4 linked regions of the Arabidopsis thaliana genome follow. The protein of the gene in region 3 purifies or fractionates together with the protein of the main gene of each other region. This does not show direct contact. Each region holds a gene or a part of one and is shown on either strand. Other genes may lie near its edges.

Region 1 (5,067 bases), on a different chromosome or scaffold from region 3:
CTTAGTGTCGCTTAGTGATTCTTTAATCTCATACAACAAATTCTCCTTCTCATCGCAAATCGCAACTCTAATCCAGACTTCACGGTCTTTTCCTTACCTTCCACCACCAAACCCTTGGTGTACAATCTGTAGACGACATTGTCTGAAAACTTCTTCACAGCAGAGTCGGATAGGACGACTGTAGAACAACCCTCGCCTTTAGGGTTTGGGAAATCTCCGGTTATGGTAGAATCTAGTCGCCGTTTTTAGTAACTCAAGTCTTGATCGCGTCTCTCCATGTCGTTTTGGTTTCAAGTAGGAAAATCTGAAGACTTATATATAAGAGAGAAGTTGTCAAATAAATTCTTATTAATTGCTTTGCTATGAAGGCACCGTAATGTTTGTAACTGTTATTGTATTGGTATCGATTGATTTTTCAATTAATATTGCCAAACCCTAGTTCCTCTAATCCATCTCCCAAAACTTATCAATTTATCGTTAGACGAATCATGTTGTTTCTTTTAAATTTTAATCTTGGTTTGTTTTTATCTCAAAGAGAAACATATGAGTGTAGTCTACATACTAAAAAAAGAGATGCGAATTAAAACGTTTCTTTTATAAAGTAGTGATACTGTTAAGCATACAACACACTTTTCAGTCTGAAATTTTCTCCAGCAATTTCTCTACCATGATTCTCTGTTGTGTCCCGCTTAAAGTTTCAGAATTCATCAACGCATTGGCGACGATAATCACTATACGAGGAGCAGCCGCATGCACCTGAAACCAGACAGAAGATATTAACCATGCGATTTCCAGTTGCATTGTTTGGATTCTTAAGAAGCAATCACTGTTTTTCTTACCCAACATCTCCCATTTAAGCCAAACGCAGTCTCAAACGAGAGTTTCTTTCCAAGAGCTTCAAGGACCGGGCAAGTTGGTGAACTCAACAACCTAATAAGAACAAAGTGTAAGAGTGAGAAAAAGTCGAGAAGAGGCCACTTCATCTAGAAGAAAAATAAAGGAATAAGAGTGAAACTCACATTCTAGATAAACCAGTTGAAGTTTCAAACATGAAACCATCTTTTAAGGGACCAAATCCTGCAGCCTTTCCACTTTCTATTACATTGTCCAACAATTCTAGTCAGCAATTGCTTAGTCTAAACAATTAATGCGGAGAAACAAGGAAATGATTTAACTTTTTAAACTTTGTGAGAAAAAAGAATGGATGGACTAACCGTCTACACATGACAGCTCCGGGTTCATTCCTGTGTTTGTCTTCACAACCCGAGTATAAAGCAGAGTGCTTACCTGTATCAACAAATTGTCACAACTCCCAAAAACACGTGATCACTATGTTATCACTTAATACAGCGAATCCACTTGAAATAGAGTTGATGAGCTCAACTCCAGACGAAGTAAAAGTGCCTATTATGCTCATAAACAAACCAATGAAGTACTGGATCCTTTCAATATCACACACAAGCCATTGTAATTTCCAGGGAAATTCTCAATACACTGTAATGGCAATACTAACATCTCAAACAACTGAATGCAGTTACCAGCTAGAGACTATTTTGATGATGGTTCAGATTGAAGAAGTATATTCAGAAGGTACTTGCCTCAAACTTGGGATAATTTCTTCTGTTTGCTCCTTCAAATGCAAGCACAGGCAAAAGAGCCAATTGTGGTCCTTTAATGTCTATCCAATAGTTCTGCAATGAAACATGTGTCAAAACGATTTTCAAAATATTATGATCTACTTTGTTACATGCAACATGACTTTGGCTGAGAACTCTAGGGGCAACACTCTAAATAAAGGCTTATGCCGTTTTCTTTATCCATGATCTCAAGTATTTATTAACATATACATGTAACTAACAAACAAGCTGAGCAATGATAGAAGTTGGATAATGATAGAGCACAACCGAAATCAATATTCTTTATACATGATTTTTGCATTAAATGAACTGTATACAGAGAAAAAATGCTTGATTCAGAGGGTCCAAGGGAAAAGGATCTCTAACAAAAATTTAAGGATCGTCTTTAGAGTACTTACTTCTCCTTTACAATCTACCACAATGCCAAGAACATGATCCTCAGGACGAGGTACATACTGCAAAAAAAACATAATAACAGAGTCAAAATCGAGTAACATGGAGTAATTCTTCAAACTAGAGAGCAAAACCACCACTTTTTCGACAAGTTAAGCGCAGATGAACAATCGAATAACTAGTAGAGCTAGGAGATATCAGGAAAAAGGTACCAATTTATTGCAAAATACAACCAGCAAGAAACTAATTAGTTCTCACCCTTTTATGAGAACTTTCCACCCAATACTTATTTGGCTTAGAGTACCTCAACTTCCCAGCTCTCATAACAGATATCACCTCATTATCCTGAAAAAACCTCAAAATCATATGTCAATCTTCTAGCCTTGCAAGCCCAACAAAAAGCAAACTGTAGATTCCAAATTAAGTTTATTCCTCAAATGCCAATGCAAGATCCAAAATTCAACATAACTTGTTTAATAATGAGCAAAACATTCATTAATTCATTCATACACTCAACACAACAAATTTCAAACTCCAAAAAAATGATCGAAGATTTGGAACAAGTGATTTTGAGAAAGTTAAAAACCTGACGGAGACCACTGCCGAGTTTGATTGTTTGGTTAGTCATGTTTGATAAATCGAGAACAACATCACCTGGAACCTGAAACCCATCTCACAAAACTTAATCTTTCAATGTAATCCCAATCTAAAACGATAATCAAAGAAGCAGAGGTTTTAGTAGAAAATACGCACAACAGTCTGATCAATGAGGCTTGTCGGCGAGGTAGAAACTTCAGTACCCATCTTTCTTATTTCTTCGCTAACAACACCAATTGATTTATCCAATGAAGGGAGACAGAGCAAAAGCAGAACTGAGAGGTAGAGAGAAAGAAGAACCCTAAAAAACACTAAAACCCTAAAGTTTTTTGCTTTGGTGATGTTGAAGACGATCGGAAATTAAAAACTCCGAACCAAGTAATTTACTATAATGGTTATGAGTGGTTTATTTCGGTTTAGTAGATCCATATGATTTGGTCAACTAAAAAGTCTCCTTCGTCCTTCCTTTTTTTTTGGGACAAAATGACACTTCTTTCACTGATTTTCAACGACTGCTCTGTGGACCATGAGTGATGGATGGTAGTTGTTTTTGGTGAACAAGAAACAATGACACTGATGGTTTCGAATTTTACAATGGATTAGGTGATCTGATGTAGACATGTGTGTGCATATACATCAATTAATTACATAAAGAAGAATCTGACTCGCATATTCAAAATAAGGGATTTACGTCACTAACCAACTTTCTGCTCTACTTTTCTCTGTACATGGTATATCTATTCTATAAGCTCTTCACCTTCTGCGTTTTTCGTTTTCCTCTTTCACAGAGCTCTTAACCTGCATTGCGGAATTCAAATGTTTTCTCAATTTGATATTCTCCTCAGTCCTCATACATATCTGCCATTATCTTCCTCAGCTCATCCTCAGAAGCAGTCTCATCAAACCCTAACAGCAGTTGCGCCTGAAAATATGCCACTTTCAAATTTAAAACGAGGAATCCAGCTTGGCGATTTTGAGCCATGGTTATCGAATGTAAACATTTGAATACGATTTTTCTTGCTACAGATATTAAAGGAGATGCACCAATAGCTTACCTCAATCTGATCTTGCAAGGCATTTGATACTTCAGATAAGTCTTCTCTGTTGTTACTGGACTCATCCATTGACAAGTTTGTGTTGTTCACTTTAAGCCTGTCGTGGAGAATTTCACAGTCACTATACAGCCTTCTTCTTGCTTCTAGCGTGTTCTCGACTATTATCCTTTCCTGTTGGAGGAGTTTCTGAAAAAATTAAACATGTTTCAGTATGTTTTGATGTTCTTTCTGTAGGATCATATACATTTACCACAAGCGGATGATGCAAGCAATAATATAATGCTTTTTATTTACAAGCTTAAGATTTACCTCAGTGTCAGACTTCTCTGTCAGCGATCGAGTCAGTTCCTTTTCCATTTCCATATGTGAACGTCTCAGGGATTTGACCTCTCTGACAAGCACTTTTATGTCTGCCTTTGATTTTGCCTCCAGTTCAACATACCGTCTAGAAAGATCTTCCAGTTGCTGTTTTGTGGCATCCATTTCTTGTAACAGCTCATGGCTCTCAGAGATTGTTGAGTTTCCTGACGTCTTAGAATCTGAACTCCCATCCTGTATTAGTTTGCAGGTGTCAGTAAGTTACTTTGCTAGATATAAATTACTCGCTCGATGTGAACTTGCTTAATTGTGGAAAGAATGTGATTGAGATGGAACTATTTCAAATTTCAATACCTCTTTTGACTTTAACTTCAGTTCCATCTCAAAAGTTTTTTGCCTGAGTTCTTCCATATCCCACTGCATCTTGGTAACACTCTGTCTCTCGGTCATCAAAGCTTGCTCCAAATTCTCTTTGTTTCTCTGTTTAGTAGTTTCAAGTTCCACTTCCAGATCATCAACCTGAACAGGAAAACCAAGATTACATATATGACATTCGCATGAAGAGTAAAGGAAGAAGCGCAGATTTCATTACCAACAAACTTGAAAACAGATGTACTATTATTTTCAATCATGTACCTTTCTGTTCAGATATTCCTTCACCGCTGTCTCTTGATTTAGTCTCGCTATAAGATCCTCCATGTCTGTTTTTGAATTGAGAAGTCTCTCATTCATAGTTAATAGAATCCTATTTAATTTACTATGCATTTTCAGCGGGAGAACTATTCGTCCATTACCCGGTATCTCCAGGTTACCAACAGATATATCATGATTAACATCCAGCTGGCTATGTACAATGGAGCTCAAGATACTAGAGGTTGATGTCTCACCGGCTAGTAACGAAACCCCGTCAGCGCTCTCAAGAGAAAGCTTTCGATCATGCATCACTGAGTGACTAGTTTCTGATTCAGAGCGACACCGTAAGTCGTTGTTTGCTCGAAATACACCTTTAGAAGCTTTTCCATTGTACGAATTCGTCTCTGTGATATCATTGGCATATCCTAAATGGA
Region 2 (4,274 bases), on a different chromosome or scaffold from region 3:
AAAAAGTAAACTTTTTGCCTAGTAAATGTACAGAGATTCCTCAAATCTAAAGCGTACTACTTTCTGATTAAGTGCTTAATCGCAATGCAATTCAGAACCGTTACTGAATCGAAATTAATTAAAAACCCCAAATAATCGCACGATCATTCAACCCACAAACAATCACGAATACACCAAAATGGATTTAAAAAAGGCCGTAAACTGACCTTCAACGAAGACAATAGCGACTTTAAGGAGAACGGCGCCGGAACAAAAATAGCGGGAAATAAGATCGGTAGCGACAAACAGAGAGTGAGAAATCGAAGAAGAAGAATATTGTTTTGGGAGTGTGGAGCGAGCGAGAGAAATTGGCCGTAGAACACTGTTTCGTGAATGAGAGAAGAGGTTTGGTAATCGCTGTTATTACTTGGATTCTCATGAGGGTATTTTAGTCATTTCCCAATTATCCCTTCTCCGAGCTAAAAAGGGCAGCGAATCTTTTCTATGTTGTTTCTGCAACTGTAGATCCTTTCACAAAACGAATTTCAGCTACAAAAGTCGAAACCGATAAATTCATGAATGAAAGAAGAAAGCCGTCTCCAAAAGACATAACTCGACTAATCTAATCTGATGTACAGTTAATAGTATCAAACACATCCATCATACTACATATCTCAATCAGATTAAAATTCGAACTTTCAATAGAAGCTGAGTAACAAACAAGACCGAATGATCTAATACACGTTACAAGTCTCTGATACATCAGTGACAAAAAGGGGTAGTTTTCACTTTTTCCTCTTTGTACGTCTTCTTTCAGCTTCATTCTCTGCTACCACAACGTGAAACTCTGATCCAAGCATATCATGTATGTCAATATTCTTTGAGTTACTGAGGTTAACAGTCTCCATGATTACTTCTAGTGTCACGGTGAAGCCTAGATTAGACAAGACACGTATCGCATTCCCGATTCTGCATATGGTTTGTCGAGTCTCGAGTGGAATATGGCTTTGCTCTTTTCCTGTGGAGGAGGATGAGATCATTTCCTCATCTTTCTGATCATCTATTGCCATAGGATCTCTCACTTCGACATGTTCTCCAACCCATATGAAACCATTGCAGCCAATAATCAAATCAATCCCAAGACTTTCTACGTAATGAAAGTGATGTTTGCTTCTCTTAACCAAGTAAGGATCGACCTTCAGAAGTTGTCCCTTCTCGAGCTGTAGCGATTCATGGATTAATCAATGTTCAGAGGAAGAGACTAGCGAAAGGTATAACTACATGAGCATGTGACCAAATGAGAACCAACCTTGCCATACTTCTGACTTCTGGCTTGTAACTGCAAGCTACCATCATGCTGAAAGTTGCGTACTTCAGCCTAAGAGTTTGAACAAACCAAAGAGGGAACCCTTTTAGTCAGGTTGACGTAACTGTTAAGATATGTAAAGATTGGAACATTACTAATCACAGGACTTACACATACGACATCATGCTCTACAAAGATATTCCGCATATTGAGTTCATCCACAGAGGTTCTTCGCCTCTGGCAACAACAATAAACTTATATCATTGAAGCCAAAAGCAATCATCCAAATGGCAAAATATCAAGAATCAAACTGTACCTGAATACCATCAGGCATGTTCATGGAAGAAAGCATCAGTACTCCATCCTGATTGAAGTTGAGCTCCACTCTCCAACGTTTTTGAGCAACCTGAATAAGTAAAGATCAATCCAGTAACTGTGCAATGTGATTGAAACCTTTATGTTACTCACTCAATCCGATTTCAAAAATCCAAACACCAAAACAAAAATCTACCTCAATGACACGGCCTACCACAATATCCCCAACTTCAGGCTTGTACCTAAAACGTAGATCATCAAAACCATCAGTTCTACTTAATCTCAGAGTAGAGAGTCCATTCTATTCACATTTTCTGGGAAACTAAACAAATTCAAAGATCAATCACAGACCTGGCTCGCAAGGTGCGTACATAGACAAGCTTATCCACACGCTCCACTACTCCACAGACCGTCGCGAGCAACTCACCATCGACCTCGGAAGTTCCATGTCCCCTTTAATGAAAAAACCAATCGTGAAAACGCAATTTGACAAAAATTTCAATCCAGAAGGGAGAATGAGATGAAATTACTTGAGGAAGGCATCGTCATGGTTGACGGGAATAGAGTCGGTGACGATAACAGAAGCGTCAGAGTTAGCCGACGACGACAGTGATTGAAGCCGCTCGATTGCTCTCTCAAACCTAACCTTCTGCGTCTGGCTCAACGGTAACTGTAGCTTTCTCATCACCATCACAGACACTCTCTCTCTTTCTCTCTATTTAGCTCCAGCAACACAACAATGGCGATGCAAAACGAGTTTGGGACTTGGGAGAGAAGAAGAGCAAAAACCTTGACGTTAGTTCCCTTGAATGAATTCTAGGGTTTTGTGTTATTTGTTGGACTAACATATCCAACTTCTGGCCCATTTATAAAACTTCTGGCCCATTAATCTGATAATTGACGCCAAATAAAGTATTATTTATCTTCATTAAAAAAATGGGAAAAAAATTAGACGTCTCTGCAGCGACAAGCTTCAAGTCTTTTGTGATCTTCCTATTTCTGACGCTAATTCGAATCCTTCACTCTTCAAATTGATTCTTTCACGGATCAAACAAATTATCTGAGAGTACCGATTGGTAAGATCTGAGCTTTACGCTATGAATTTCTTCAAATCCGTCTTCACGGAAGACCTAGATCCTCCAGAAACCGAATCCGAATCCGATTCACCGAAACACAGCGAAGAGCATGAACATCCAGAGCAAGAACATCCAGAGCAATCTGAATCTAACGACGACGGTGGATGGAGCTTCGGTGGTCTGATGAAAACTCTAGCCACCAGATCCGAATCCGTGATTGAAACCTACCGACGAGATCTCGAAGAATTTGGCACAGGTTTGAAGAAAGAGATCGAGGTGGCTCAGGGATCGCTTGGTACGGTGGGACATGCGATTGATGAGCTTGGGAACACGGTGCTAAAAGGTACGGCTGAGATTATTGCTCAAGGTAAGGAAGCGATTTTAGCCGCTGGTAATGAATCTGATTCTTCTGATAACAATAGTAGTCAGAGTTTTGGTCGTCGTGATAGCTTCAGTTCGAAACCATATAGTCGTTTCGATGCTCAGATTCGTGCTGTTCAAGGAGATCTCAACACTTACTGTGAAGAGCCTGAGGATTCAGATGATTACAAAAAGTGGGAATCTGCGTTTTCTCTGGATGGAAAAGCTGAGGAGATGGAGAAATTGTTGGAGGAAAATGGTGATATGAAAGGAGTGTATAAAAGGGTCGTTCCGAGTATGGTTGATCACGAGACCTTCTGGTTTAGGTATTTCTATAGGGTTAACAAGCTCAAGCAAGCTGAGGATTTAAGGGCTAATCTTGTGAAACGAGCCATCTCTCTGGATGATGAAGAAGAATTGAGCTGGGATATTGATGATGAAGAGGAGAGCAGCGAGAAAGTTGTTGAAGCTACCAAAGATGTTTCAAGGTTGAAACTTGAAGGGAATGATGGTATGGGTGGTGGAGATGTGAGTGAAACTGTGAAAGATGAAGTGGAAAGTACATATTCAGTGGCTAAAGTGAGCACGCAAGATGAAGTGACAAGTGCAGATTCAGTGACTGAAGTGAGCAATGTTGGTTTGAAGACAGATAAAGATTCTGAGGAAAAGAAGGAGACTGATAGTGAGGAAGTTCCAGAAGAAAAATCATTTGTTGATGCTGCTCCTCCTGCGTCTGATGAGGCTCCAATCCAAGATTCTGTCAAACCAACATCTGATGAGGCTCCAATCCAAGATTCTGTCAAACCAAAATCTGATGAGGCTGCTCCATCCCAAGACTCAGCTAAACCAGATGTGGCTGCTTCTTCATCAACTCAACAACCATCTGAAGAGGATTTGGGATGGGACGAGATCGAGGATATGAGTAGCATAGATGGTAAGGAAACGAGTCGGTCTGGTGGTAGTCCAAACAGAGCTGAGCTGCGTAAACGTCTGAGTGCTGCAGAGGAAGATGAAGATTTAAGTTGGGACATTGATGAAGATGACGAAGAAGAATCATCATCATCCAAAGCTTAATGTTAGTTTTAAAGTGGTGTGCTTTCTTACTTTTGCCAATCCTTTTACTTGTTTTTACAAGTTTCTGGCGCTTTGCCCCCATTCTTCAGTTGTTTTTCTCTTCAACGTTTCTATTTTACATTGATTTGAAAATATGTTTTTAAATTTTACTTGAGAAGGTGGTT
Region 3 (4,643 bases):
ATAATATTAGTATATATGATACTAGTAAATACATATGACACTGAATATAATTTAAATATATCTATATATAGAAACAGAAAATAAATACAATTGAAAATATATCTCTATATAATTCGGATACCCACATGTAGTTCTGGAACACATGTGTTTTTCTGAGTTTTATCCACAAGTCCCAAAACTTTCGGAATTTTTGAATTTGAGTTTTTTATGGGCGGGCTCAATTTAGGTTCGGACTGGGCGGTTTTCTTTTATCCACGGCAACATTTCAGGACAGTATTATATCTCAACTATTCGATGAGTTTAGTTTGGTTCGGTTCGGTTCTTTTCACTTCAGTTCCAGTTCAGTTGTTTCGGTTCCGTAAATTTGTCCGGGCCTTCCTATGATTATTGAACCAGCTTTAATCCAATTTGCAACTATCAGGAGTAATGGAGTATTATTGATCAGAAAGGGGCCAATTTGTTTTCATTACTACTTTCCCCAATATTGTTGAAGCTTGTTGTGCTTATCGTTCATCTCATATGTTGGATAATTGAAATAAATAGCTCATCTGCTCTTGTTATTAGAAATTATACTAGATTTTCTAGTAAATTACAGTATAATCCATGAACATGTTCTTTATAATTGACTCGAATCTGATCCCCACGGGCTGAAAAATTGTCAAGACAAGTGATGAATCAATAGCTCTGACCATGGCTACCATTTGTATTAAAGATACGAGGTTCATCTGTTCACATATCTAATGATACTAGATAATAGGCCACTAGCTTTTGATTTTTGATTAGACACATAGACGACAAGGATTCTATCAAAGCTACAACAGGAGTAATATGAAACCGTTTCAAAATCTCATGCAAACCATTATGAATTTGTGCTTTTACCCAGCCTTGGATGAACTTTGTTGGAAGTTCTTTCTAAAAAATGCAGATAAACTAGCCGTAGCAGCACGGCCGTTCTCTACACACAGGAAATAATCGTCCACTGAAACAAAAAGGCAAGAATTCAGAATTATAGATGATGCAGTGATTGAGAGAAACAAGTTCTTTAAAACATGTCTTACACAAATGAAATGTATGAGCATAATACACCATAGTGAATTCTATTCAAGAAAGGAAAGTTGATCAGTACCTGACATTACTCCATGTGTAATTGATGTGATGATCCCATGCTCTACTGGCTCGCCTTCCGCTACTGATGACCCTTCCGGAAGAACAGAGAGAGTTGTATTTGGAAAGACTAAATAAGCAAAGGCCGTCATTTTCTGTCCATTGCAGTTTCAAGTAAGTATAACCAACACGCAAAAGAAAATATAACAATGGACAACAAGGCTTTTAAATAACCTTTTCTTCAAGCTTGTTTGGATCGAGTACGAGATATCCATTCTCAGCCAGGCAACAGCATATAGCAACTGAAAAAACAAAAAGCTGATGAAACAGTAAGAAGTAACACACAAAGTCAATTAGAGAAGAGTGTAAATGTACCAGCCAGATGCTTCATAGGGATTCCTGCATCGACAAGCGCTGCACATGCTGCATTTATCGCACATGGTAGAAGCTAAACAGAATTGAATCAAGGAAAAAGCAGCAAAAACTGTCTTCTAAAGTAATGCACCAATTATTCCACTAAAACATATTCACACTCCCAGCTCATGGGACTACAAACTTTCACTGCTAAAAACTCTAAAAATACTAAAACCAAGATTGCTTATACTGGATTATATGTGTTTGACACAGTATCAGTAAATGTTTACCAAAAGGCAAGGATCATAAAAAGGATACAGAACCATCATCATGCACAACCTACACAGGAATCAAAGAATGAAAAGTTCAGATACAACTCAAGTTGATAAATCGATATATACAACAATGAAATAGCTACTCACCTGAATTATCACTGAGGTGGTGGTATTTGGATTAACAGTCAAAACACAAATACTCTGTATCGTCCTTTTCAATATCATCTCATACTCCTTTTCAACTTTTCCTATCATTATGCAAAGTAAAAGTCAGTCAGAATCTAAAAACCAAGAATCACCTCTACCGCATACTCAAGCAACAAAACAACATCCAGACATGATTAAACTAAATGCATTTACGAACCAATCTGCCCGGATTTAGGCTTCCATATGACTTCAAAACAAGCCTTCTCAGCATTTTCGTTCTTTTTCGTTCCTGCTTTAGGTCCATAAACCGCAGCTAGAACTTTTGTATCCCCTGAAAATATAAACAAGAAGCATACCCATTAGAAAGTGCTGATATATGTAATCAAACAAACAAAAAACATGGAGATTAAAACAAGTACCTTGTGACCAACTAGCAGAGCCATGAGGACGATGAAGGATATTACGGGAACAAGCAAGAGGTCTCAGCTGATTTGGTGTTCTTCCATCTTCTCTATCAATCTCCATTGCTACAATACTTCTTCACACAAAAGGGTTTCACAAAGTAAGCATCTTTTGTCACAAAATCAAATTCTCAGATTCTATAACTGTGAATTGTTACCACTGAAAACAAAATTTGAACTGCTTCTAGCTCAACAGTAGGTGTATTTTAATGGTTCTGACCAACATCCGAGTAGTTTTTTTGTTAATTGAGACAAAAAAATCGTTCTTTCAATTCTACAATACTCGTTATCTAGCACATAAAAGACGATGTATGAACAAAAGGACACACGAATCAACACAGAGCTAGACTAAGAACCTAATTTTGAGGAAGCTAGAAGCAGAGACGATTCCGTATCAAACAAGAAGACTAACGAAAGAGAGAATACACAGCTACGGAACTGAAAGCTGGAAGAACAACTGAAACCACCAGAGGAGAGAAACTCGAAGAATTAGGGTTTATTTGTTTCAAAACCCTCAATTTCAAATCAATTAGAGTATACCGAAAACAAACCGGTTAATCCGGTTATTCAAACATTGGTTTAACTTTAACCAGTAAACTCAATTGAGGAAAGATACTTAATACGGTGTTTGAACATAATCAATCTTCCGGAGAAGAATTTGTGTATAACTGACGGAAAAAATCCGACGCATCGACGATATCAAATTTTGATCTGAGATTCAAATTCCGGTGATAACGCGAAGAGGAAGATGGATGATGAATTGTTGGAATTGCAGCGTCAGTTCGAGTTCGCTCAACAGGTGAAGTCAAGCGTGAGATTGTCGGATCGAAATGTTGTCGAATTGGTTCAGAAGCTTCAGGAGCTTGGCGTTATTGACTTCGATCTGCTTCATACCGTCACCGGAAAAGAATACATCACTCAGGTACTGATTCTATTTCGTTTCCGGTGTGAATTTAGACTCCAGAAGAATCATCACTGGGTTTCGCATAGAATTCTGGTATCATGATGTGAGTAATGTGTTAATGGAGTGAAAAATTGCTAACTCTTCTTGTTGCATGAGGAATTTAATCGGAAAAAATGAAGTTAAGTTGTTTGATCTTGATTTGTTTCAGGAGCAATTGAGGAATGAAATTACTCGTGAGATCAGTAAATTGGGACGTGTCTCTGTTATTGATCTGGCAGATACGATTGGGGTTGATTTGTATCATGTGGAGAAGCAAGCACAAGATGTGGTGTTGAATGATCCAGGGTTAATGTTAGTTCAGGGAGAAATAATATCACAAAGTTATTGGGATTCGATTGCAGAAGAAATTAATGAGAGGCTTCAAGAGTGTAGCCAAATTGCTGTGGCTGAACTTGCTGGTCAGTTACAGGTTGGCTCTGAGTTGGTGCAATCGGTTTTAGAGCCTCGACTTGGAACTTTGGTAATTGTGCTTCTCCTCTTGAGCTTTCCAGATTGTGTTTAAGTGAATGTGAACTTTTATATTTATGGATTTTTTTTTCAATCTTTTTTAGGTGAAAGCTAGGCTAGAAGGTGGACAGTTATATACACCTGCTTATGTAGAACGTGTGACCGCTATGGTTCGAGGTGCTTCCAGGGGTATATTTGTTCCTTCCAATTTGTCGGCATTGTGGGCACCATTGCAACAGTTGGTACAAGAAACGAATGGAGCCAGTGGAGTTGCTGTTGAGAATTCATTTTTCCAGTCTATATTTAACCGACTGTTGAAGGAAGAGGAGATGCTTGGATCACTACGTGCTGGAACCCATTGGACTCCTAGTGTATGTCATAAAATTCTTATCTTTTGGGTTTCTGCCACGAATGGATTTACCACTCTATTAATTTACGACAGTCTTCAAAATTTCATGAGTGCACTCTTGTCTATGCTTGATGTTTCCCATGTTTACCATTCATTAGAGTAACTTGTTTGATTTTGGTGGCAGGCTTTTGCAACTGCTCAAAAGGAATGCGTAGACTCTTCTTTTTCACAGGTTTGGTCATCATTTTATCTGAAATGTCTTTAGTCCGTTTATTTATCAGTTGGTTGTGGAAAAGACCTATATTTTGAACTTTATCAGACTGCAGTTTTAGCATGTTCTTTAAATTAATCTTTCTTTAAGAAATGGTGGATCAACGGATTTATGGTTGTTCTGTTTTCCTGCAGAATTCCTACATCTCCTATGAGAGCATGCAGAAGCTTGGGATTTCTCAAGCTGTGCAGTTCTTACAGGTATTGTATCATGTTAATTTAGCGTCATTTATCTGTAGTTTGTGAAATCTAAGTTATGGAATAATAGCCAG
Region 4 (7,366 bases), on a different chromosome or scaffold from region 3:
AAAGTGGGGTGTCTTGAAGAAGCTAGGAGAGTGTATGACAAAATGAAGGATTCAGAAGGTGGCCCAGATGTTGCTGCATCAAACAGCATGCTAAGTCTGTGTGCAGATCTTGGCATAGTTTCTGAAGCAGAATCCATTTTCAATGCTCTCAGAGAAAAAGGCACATGTGATGTTATTTCGTTTGCAACAATGATGTACTTGTACAAGGGCATGGGCATGCTCGACGAGGCTATTGAAGTGGCTGAAGAAATGAGAGAGTCTGGTCTACTAAGTGACTGCACTTCATTTAATCAGGTTATGGCTTGCTACGCTGCTGATGGGCAGTTAAGTGAATGCTGTGAACTGTTTCATGAGATGTTAGTTGAAAGAAAGCTCTTGCTGGATTGGGGAACATTTAAAACGCTCTTCACGCTCTTGAAGAAAGGTGGGGTGCCAAGTGAAGCTGTGTCGCAGCTACAAACCGCATACAATGAAGCTAAACCACTGGCAACACCAGCAATCACTGCAACTCTGTTCTCAGCCATGGGTTTGTATGCATATGCGCTGGAATCATGCCAAGAGCTCACAAGTGGTGAAATTCCTCGCGAGCATTTTGCATACAACGCAGTGATATACACTTATAGTGCATCAGGAGACATTGACATGGCCCTAAAGGCATACATGAGAATGCAGGAAAAAGGTCTAGAACCAGATATTGTCACGCAAGCCTACCTTGTTGGGATATACGGGAAAGCGGGAATGGTGGAAGGTGTGAAGAGGGTACATAGCCGGCTGACGTTTGGGGAGCTTGAACCAAGCCAATCGTTGTTTAAAGCAGTTAGAGATGCTTATGTGAGTGCAAACAGACAGGACTTGGCTGATGTGGTGAAGAAAGAGATGAGCATTGCTTTTGAAGCTGAAAGGGAGTGTAGTTCAAGATCTGGAGAAGAAGAAGAAGACGATGAAGAGGAAAATTCTGAAGAAGACGAGGCATTTTGAAGTGTAGCCACAGATGTATGTAAGAAATATTGTAGAATATAGGATTTAGTGGAAATGGACTGTACAGTTTCACAGAAGCCAAAGGAAATATGCATACTTAAGCCTCAGATTGATCTCTGGTAAAGAAATGTGTATCTTAAAACTGTTATAGAAAGAAAAAAAAAGGTTCCACAGGGTCAAATCTATAAAAGCGAGCACCTTTGGCTATGGTTTTGGTAGAGGAATTAGCATACGCTCCTTACAACAATAGATTGATTTGCATCATCGGGTTGGTCTTCTGTTGGTTTTGGTCTCTGGATTGAACATCTTTCTCCTGTCTTGCTTGCTCTTATTTTCAATTGTATAGCATCAAAGCCCATGAAAAGAGCCAGATGTTCTGGAATTGATTCCAATTTGGAATCTTGTCAGTTACTGGTGATGAATATCAACATGGAAGATATGAAACAGAGTAGCCAGCAAATTCCTTCCATTCGGAACAAAGAGTCTCTCAGCTTCAGTCAAAGTATATCAGTTATTGATCTCAAGAAAGTAATAGTAGTGAGCAATGAAGATGATGATGGAGCTCTAGAGTTGAAGAACAGAGGAGTGGAACGAACCAGTGGAGAACTCTTGAAGACCACAGTGTCAATGTGTTTATTGTTGTCTTTGTCTTTCTCTAAAAGTTGTAAAAAAAAAGGGTGTGAAGCTAAAGCTAAATGGTATGTAAGCAATGTTTTGCAATTTTAAATTTACAAAATAACACTCGGAGTTTCTGAAAGTTTAATTTTGACCCATAATATTTGATATTTGAGGCATTGTCCTGGAATTAAAACCAAATTGAAACTCCTTCGCGTGTGTTTTCTGCTGCATTTTTACCTCTTAGCGTCTCCGGCGAAAACCCACTACGACTGAGTATGGCGCTCGAAATCGAAGCTCGAGAGTAAGATTTCGCTTTCTCTTACAAACCCTAGTTTTCGTTTAGTGTCACTGATATGAATTGTGCTCCAAGAACCATCGTTTACGAATGCTCAGATGGATCTTAGGTTACATGTTTGGAGAAAACATCTTGAATGTTGGTTTTTTTATATCCTCCATACTAAAGTTGTGGTTTTTAAATCTACCCATAATTTGTTTTAGCTTGGTTCTTCTAAAGCTAATTGCTTCTGAATATCTAGATTCCTCCGTAGCTATTCTTCGTTTAAATTAACGTCGTATACGAAAATTTGAGGGAGATCATCGTTAGAGTGTTTTGATTCTTTGCAATGCGTCTCGAGGAAAAATCCAATTTGTATAAATTTGAACTCTTGTTAATTCTCGGCTTGGATTGAAACCATTGACAGTATTATTAGCCATTTTGTTAGTAATATTGGATGGAGAACGTTTTGATGCTATATGTCAGCTTTGTGTAGATCTTCATCCCTAATAGCTCTCTATTGTGTTGAATGTCTCAGTGTAATAAAGATTATGCTTCAGTTCTGCAAAGAAAATTCCTTGAATCAGACATTCCAGACATTACAAAGCGAGTGTCAGGTTTCCTTGAATACAGTAGACAGCGTCGAGACGTTTATTTCTGATATTAATAGTGGAAGATGGGACTCGGTACTACCTCAAGTTTCCCAGCTTAAACTTCCCAGGAATAAACTTGAAGACCTTTATGAACAGGTTTGTTCTTTTACTCTGTGAAATGTAGAAGTGTATAAAAATAGTGATTGTCATTGTAAGTTTTGTTTATTTTCGGGGTGATTTTTTCAGATTGTATTGGAGATGATAGAACTTCGAGAGTTGGACACTGCCCGAGCTATTTTGAGACAAACTCAGGTGATGGGTGTCATGAAGCAGGAGCAAGCAGAAAGATATTTGCGGATGGAGCATCTTCTAGTCAGAAGCTATTTTGATCCGCATGAGGTATGGAAACTATATTATGCTCGACTATTCAATATCACGTTGGGTGTTGCTTTTGTTGTTGCTGTGTCACCTAAGCATGGTTGTCCGCAACTGTTCAACAGTTCAAACAATGTTGCTATATCTGTTATCTCTTGCATTTTCTGTACTCTACTTGCGACTTTTGATATCTTTCAAAATCTTAAGTAGAACCAGTGAGCGGTTAAACATGAAGTTGTTTCTAGATGAGGGTCTCAAAGTATAACACATGCTCGTATTTCTGAGTACAAAAGTATCTTTACATGTTACTAGCTCTTTTACATGTTGATGGATTTGACTTTTCTATCTGATTAGTCTTTTGAGGTGTATTGTCTCCTAGTCATTGTTCATGTTATGCACAAAGAGTGGCGTTTTTCATGTAATCATTTCCTTGTGATAATCATGGTTTGCTAATTTTACCTTTGTTTCTAAGGCTTATGGAGACTCAACTAAAGAAAGAAAACGGGCACAGATTGCTCAAGGTTGGCCATTTCTTCTTTATTTTCTACAATAACAATTTTCTTCAGTTATTGTATGATTAATTACCTGAAGGAACCAAGTGATGTTCTGGAATACTCTCTCTATTGCATGCTTAAATATTATTATGACATGAAAAGAAGTTATGACGAGAACTTATTTCCTGTTTAATGGTTATAGAGTTTTTGTTTTCTCTTGCTCAGTATGTACTCAAGGTTCACTAATTGTTTGTTCTCCTACTCGATCAGCTGTGGCTGCCGAGGTTACCGTGGTACCACCTTCACGGTTAATGGCTTTGATAGGTCAGGCTTTAAAGTGGCAACAACATCAAGGTGATTATCTAAGGAACTGTGGATGCTACCAAACAGTTCTGTCAAACTTCATCTCGTTTTCTTTTACTTTTTTGCCTACATTACTAATATATCAATGGAATCAACATATGTACCCTCTCTCATTTCCTAAAATTTACATACACTTGTGTCAGGCCTGCTCCCTCCAGGAACACAGTTTGACCTCTTTCGTGGGACGGCAGCTATGAAGCAAGATGTAGAAGACACACATCCTAATGTTCTTACTCATACCATAAAGGTTCATATTCACACTTTAATAGCTTCTTTAGCTTAGTGGTCTATGATCTGTTGCTCATGATTATTTTGGGTTTTCTCATCAGTTGAGTTCTTGTCTAATTTTCATATCTTTTTCCTTGTGCTGGTGCTGGTGCAGTTTGGTAAAAAGAGTCATGCAGAATGCGCTAGATTCTCACCAGATGGACAGTTTCTTGCATCTTCTTCTGTGGATGGTTTTATCGAGGTGAGTTGATCCGGAATCTGTATGTATGATAATACAAGTTATTAGTCTTTAAAATAATTCTGTGACTAGGATTGCTCAGACTTGAAAAGCATTACAGGTATGGGATTACATAAGTGGAAAGCTCAAGAAGGATTTGCAATATCAAGCTGATGTAAGCTCTCATGTCTTCTTTTCATTTTTTAATTCTAACTCAGTACGGGGTCAGATGAGCTGTTAGTACATTTTAATCAAATGAAAATAATCCTTACTGCATCTGATTATTGAACGTGTGACAAGTCTGTGAGAATGATATGGTGGATTACTTTTTGCTTTTTATTCCAAAAATGTCGCCCATGAGATTCCTGAAGCACCAAGTATATGGTGGATTACTGTTATCTTTGAATTTTAATTTTTTCTCCAATGTAACTCCTAAAGCACCAAGTATCTCGTCTGAGACTTCCTGGTATACAAAATATCAGTTTTGGATAAAGAGTTCCCATTCCATCCTCTTTACTTACTATGATTAATTTCTGACAGGAATCTTTCATGATGCATGATGATCCTGTCCTCTGCATAGACTTTAGCAGAGATTCAGAGATGCTTGCATCTGGGTCACAAGATGGAAAGATTAAAGTAAGTTCCAGCTGCATATGTTTCCTTAAAGTTGAATTTTTTGTCTGAAGATAGACTATTGCGGCAGTTTGGTAGATATATCTTCTTCCTCTCATTGGTCCCATATGTATTCTGATTGAATACAAATAGAAAAACTAGACTTAGATGCATGTCACTTTTGCAGATCTGGCGTATAAGGACTGGTGTATGCATACGTCGTTTTGATGCACATTCCCAAGGAGTTACAAGTCTTTCCTTCTCTCGGGATGGAAGCCAATTACTGAGTACCTCCTTTGACCAAACTGCAAGGTTTTATTAGTTATATCTTTATTTTTTTATTTTGTACTTGCGATATGAATCTCGTCCTATCAAAAACTTGAGGCTTTATATTTCTTTGATGGTAGAATATTCTTTTAACTTTTGATTGCATCTTTTTTCTTCTTGTTTTTGTTAATATTTTCCTTTTCATTTGGTAGTTATGTAAGTTTATTGGTAGAGCTTCTAGTCGAATATAATATCAAATTCTTATTATATATTTTGCTTTATTTTATGCAGAATCCATGGTTTGAAATCTGGGAAATTGTTGAAAGAATTTCGTGGTCACACATCTTATGTAAATCATGCCATCTTTACAAGTGATGGAAGCCGTATTATCACTGCCTCCAGTGATTGTACAGTAAAGGTAAATTCTTCGGCTTTGGCTGTCAGCAGTATCATTGTTTCTCATTTGGACTCTCTGCCCCTTCTGCCGTGTAATAACAGTCTTGTTTCCTTGCACAGGTCTGGGATTCTAAGACGACAGATTGTCTACAAACATTCAAGCCGCCACCTCCGTTAAGGGTATCTTTTCTTATACAGATTTATGTACATCTTGTAATACTTTTTCTGATCTTCTGTGGCAAACTCTTTGGTTACCAAGTCTGAATTTTGAAATATAGGGAACTGATGCATCAGTCAACTCTATTCACTTGTTCCCCAAAAACACAGAACACATTGTTGTGTGCAACAAGACATCATCTATATACATTATGACACTCCAAGGACAGGTAAATTTCCAGCAACGGTCTCCTGCAAATCAGTGTCATTGTCATGCCAAAACTAAGATTGTTCACATGCTTCTATATTGGAATCCTTTTGCAGGTTGTGAAGAGTTTCTCATCCGGTAATAGGGAAGGAGGAGATTTTGTAGCAGCATGTGTATCTACAAAAGGAGATTGGATATACTGCATCGGCGAAGACAAGTAACACTCTAACCTCCTATATCTATCGTTTTATTTTTGGATAAGTTCCACGAGTTTGATTTCAAAGGATAATCTTATGGTTCCTTTCTTTTCGGGTTTCATCTTCTGCCTTTGATGTTCGTAATGGTGTTTGCACCTACAGGAAACTGTACTGCTTCAACTATCAATCTGGTGGACTTGAGCATTTCATGATGGTAAGTTTATATCCGTAACAGACATGCTCCAAAAGATTTTGGATGTTGGAAATTTGAAAGTTGCATTTGAGACAAACACATAACAGTAACTCACTAGAGTAATGAAGTCCCTTGTGTGTTATAATGTTTGATTCATCTGTTCTCCATTTTAGAGCTCAGATTATCATCCTCTCTCTCTCTCTCTTAATACTTATCTTAGTTGTCTTTTATTAGACCTGGTTTCTGAATAGTTTATGCTTATGACAGGTGCATGAGAAGGATGTGATTGGTATAACACACCACCCGCATAGAAACCTCCTTGCTACCTATAGTGAAGATTGCACTATGAAGTTATGGAAGCCCTGAGTTTTCTCATCATCAAGTCTTGTTTTCTGTATGATTAGTCTGTCTTTATTTGATTTGCACTCTTCTCGGGTTAGAACTAGTGTAATGTGAAACCATCTTTGCAAAGATCTCAGCCATTTTGGGAACACTACCCACAGACTCTAAAACCAGCATTTCAGATTTTAAGACCGTTTCACCTGGCCTTGAGCCTTGTAGTAGTTTATTTAACAACGTGTCTCCTTCCTCTTTGACCTTCCCAGCCAGTCAACTCCCATATACTTTTTAGTCTTAGGAAAGAATAAAGTCAAGCTCAAAAATATATAAAAAAAAATGAAAACTTGGGAAGTTCAAAAGAAACAAATAATGATTCTCTTAACTTGATGAATTACTCACAGGTAAATTTACAAATGATGATACGCTAACTGCTTTCCCTAGAGACCATTACAACGGGCAAAGCAGTTCTTCTGGCAACTTATTCAAAAGGAAAATTGTTTCTCTTAACAAATCTAAGAAAATATTATAAGAAAAAAAGAGGAAGAATATAAGATCAGAAGAAATGAAGAAGAGAAAGTAACTGTACTAGCCAGACTATTGCCATGTCCTTTTGAACCTACAAAAATAACAGTAAAACAAAATACATCAAATCTATAAACTAAGATCAAATATATGAGATGGTGTTGTGTAATAAAAAAAAAACTTACTATGTAATCTCCCAAAAAAAATGGCAAGACACTAAGCTCCAAACCATGAGAAATCATCACCAAAACCACCATAGTCAAAGTCCAAGTCAGTCAATGGAGACAGAATGCCACTCTGATACTGAGGCAACTCACTCCCTGTTACACCGTCTTC

Evidence for each region.
Region 1: the proteins of AT3G46210 (region 3) and AT2G25355 fractionate together in Arabidopsis thaliana (co-fractionation; one large-scale study listed by BioGRID). This does not show direct contact.
Region 2: the proteins of AT3G46210 (region 3) and RRP4 fractionate together in Arabidopsis thaliana (co-fractionation; one large-scale study listed by BioGRID). This does not show direct contact.
Region 4: the proteins of AT3G46210 (region 3) and SMU1 fractionate together in Arabidopsis thaliana (co-fractionation; one large-scale study listed by BioGRID). This does not show direct contact.

What each region holds. Positions count from the first base shown.
Region 1 is NC_003071.7:10,799,158-10,804,224, reverse strand, and holds AT2G25355 (PNAS-3-like protein), read right to left. Parts: upstream 3,135-5,067; 5' UTR 2,835-3,134; coding exon 2,784-2,834; intron 2,692-2,783; coding exon 2,617-2,691; intron 2,376-2,616; coding exon 2,289-2,375; intron 2,093-2,288; coding exon 2,036-2,092; intron 1,692-2,035; coding exon 1,599-1,691; intron 1,288-1,598; coding exon 1,215-1,287; intron 1,096-1,214; coding exon 1,020-1,095; intron 931-1,019; coding exon 840-930; intron 757-839; coding exon 634-756; 3' UTR 503-633; downstream 1-502. Other genes in the region: AT2G25350 (Phox (PX) domain-containing protein), read right to left, coding at 3,527-3,868, 3,992-4,234, 4,355-4,519, 4,637-5,067.
Region 2 is NC_003070.9:822,670-826,943, reverse strand, and holds RRP4 (ribosomal RNA processing 4), read right to left. Parts: upstream 2,428-4,274; 5' UTR 2,292-2,427; coding exon 2,131-2,291; intron 2,054-2,130; coding exon 1,952-2,053; intron 1,843-1,951; coding exon 1,797-1,842; intron 1,692-1,796; coding exon 1,602-1,691; intron 1,523-1,601; coding exon 1,457-1,522; intron 1,358-1,456; coding exon 1,289-1,357; intron 1,200-1,288; coding exon 765-1,199; 3' UTR 545-764; downstream 1-544. Other genes in the region: AT1G03350 (BSD domain-containing protein), read left to right, coding at 2,698-4,110. UniProt on the Arabidopsis thaliana protein: Non-catalytic component of the RNA exosome complex which has 3'->5' exoribonuclease activity and participates in a multitude of cellular RNA processing, maturation and degradation events.
Region 3 is NC_003074.8:16,976,085-16,980,727, forward strand, and holds AT3G46210 (Ribosomal protein S5 domain 2-like superfamily protein), read right to left. Parts: upstream 2,833-4,643; 5' UTR 2,781-2,832; exon of another isoform or gene 2,500-2,780; intron 2,419-2,499; exon of another isoform or gene 2,416-2,418; 5' UTR 2,406-2,415; coding exon 2,300-2,405; intron 2,212-2,299; coding exon 2,098-2,211; intron 1,982-2,097; coding exon 1,881-1,981; intron 1,798-1,880; coding exon 1,777-1,797; intron 1,553-1,776; coding exon 1,480-1,552; intron 1,407-1,479; coding exon 1,339-1,406; intron 1,260-1,338; coding exon 1,127-1,259; intron 980-1,126; coding exon 876-979; 3' UTR 547-875; downstream 1-546. Other genes in the region: AT3G46220 (E3 UFM1-protein ligase-like protein), read left to right, coding at 3,090-3,263, 3,454-3,765, 3,857-4,123, 4,286-4,333, 4,507-4,572. UniProt on the Arabidopsis thaliana protein: Probable component of the exosome 3'->5' exoribonuclease complex, a complex that degrades inherently unstable mRNAs containing AU-rich elements (AREs) within their 3'-untranslated regions.
Region 4 is NC_003070.9:27,723,188-27,730,553, forward strand, and holds SMU1 (transducin family protein / WD-40 repeat family protein), read left to right. Parts: upstream 1-1,803; 5' UTR 1,804-1,871; coding exon 1,872-1,897; intron 1,898-2,408; coding exon 2,409-2,619; intron 2,620-2,709; coding exon 2,710-2,862; intron 2,863-3,310; coding exon 3,311-3,359; intron 3,360-3,602; coding exon 3,603-3,686; intron 3,687-3,838; coding exon 3,839-3,942; intron 3,943-4,077; coding exon 4,078-4,164; intron 4,165-4,261; coding exon 4,262-4,315; intron 4,316-4,680; coding exon 4,681-4,776; intron 4,777-4,939; coding exon 4,940-5,064; intron 5,065-5,310; coding exon 5,311-5,437; intron 5,438-5,535; coding exon 5,536-5,595; intron 5,596-5,693; coding exon 5,694-5,801; intron 5,802-5,895; coding exon 5,896-5,996; intron 5,997-6,138; coding exon 6,139-6,190; intron 6,191-6,436; coding exon 6,437-6,535; 3' UTR 6,536-6,844; downstream 6,845-7,366. Other genes in the region: AT1G73710 (Pentatricopeptide repeat (PPR) superfamily protein), read left to right, coding at 1-978; EIL3 (ETHYLENE-INSENSITIVE3-like 3), read right to left, coding at 7,247-7,366. UniProt on the Arabidopsis thaliana protein: Auxiliary spliceosomal protein involved in splicing of specific pre-mRNAs that affect multiple aspects of development. Required for proper accumulation of SMU2.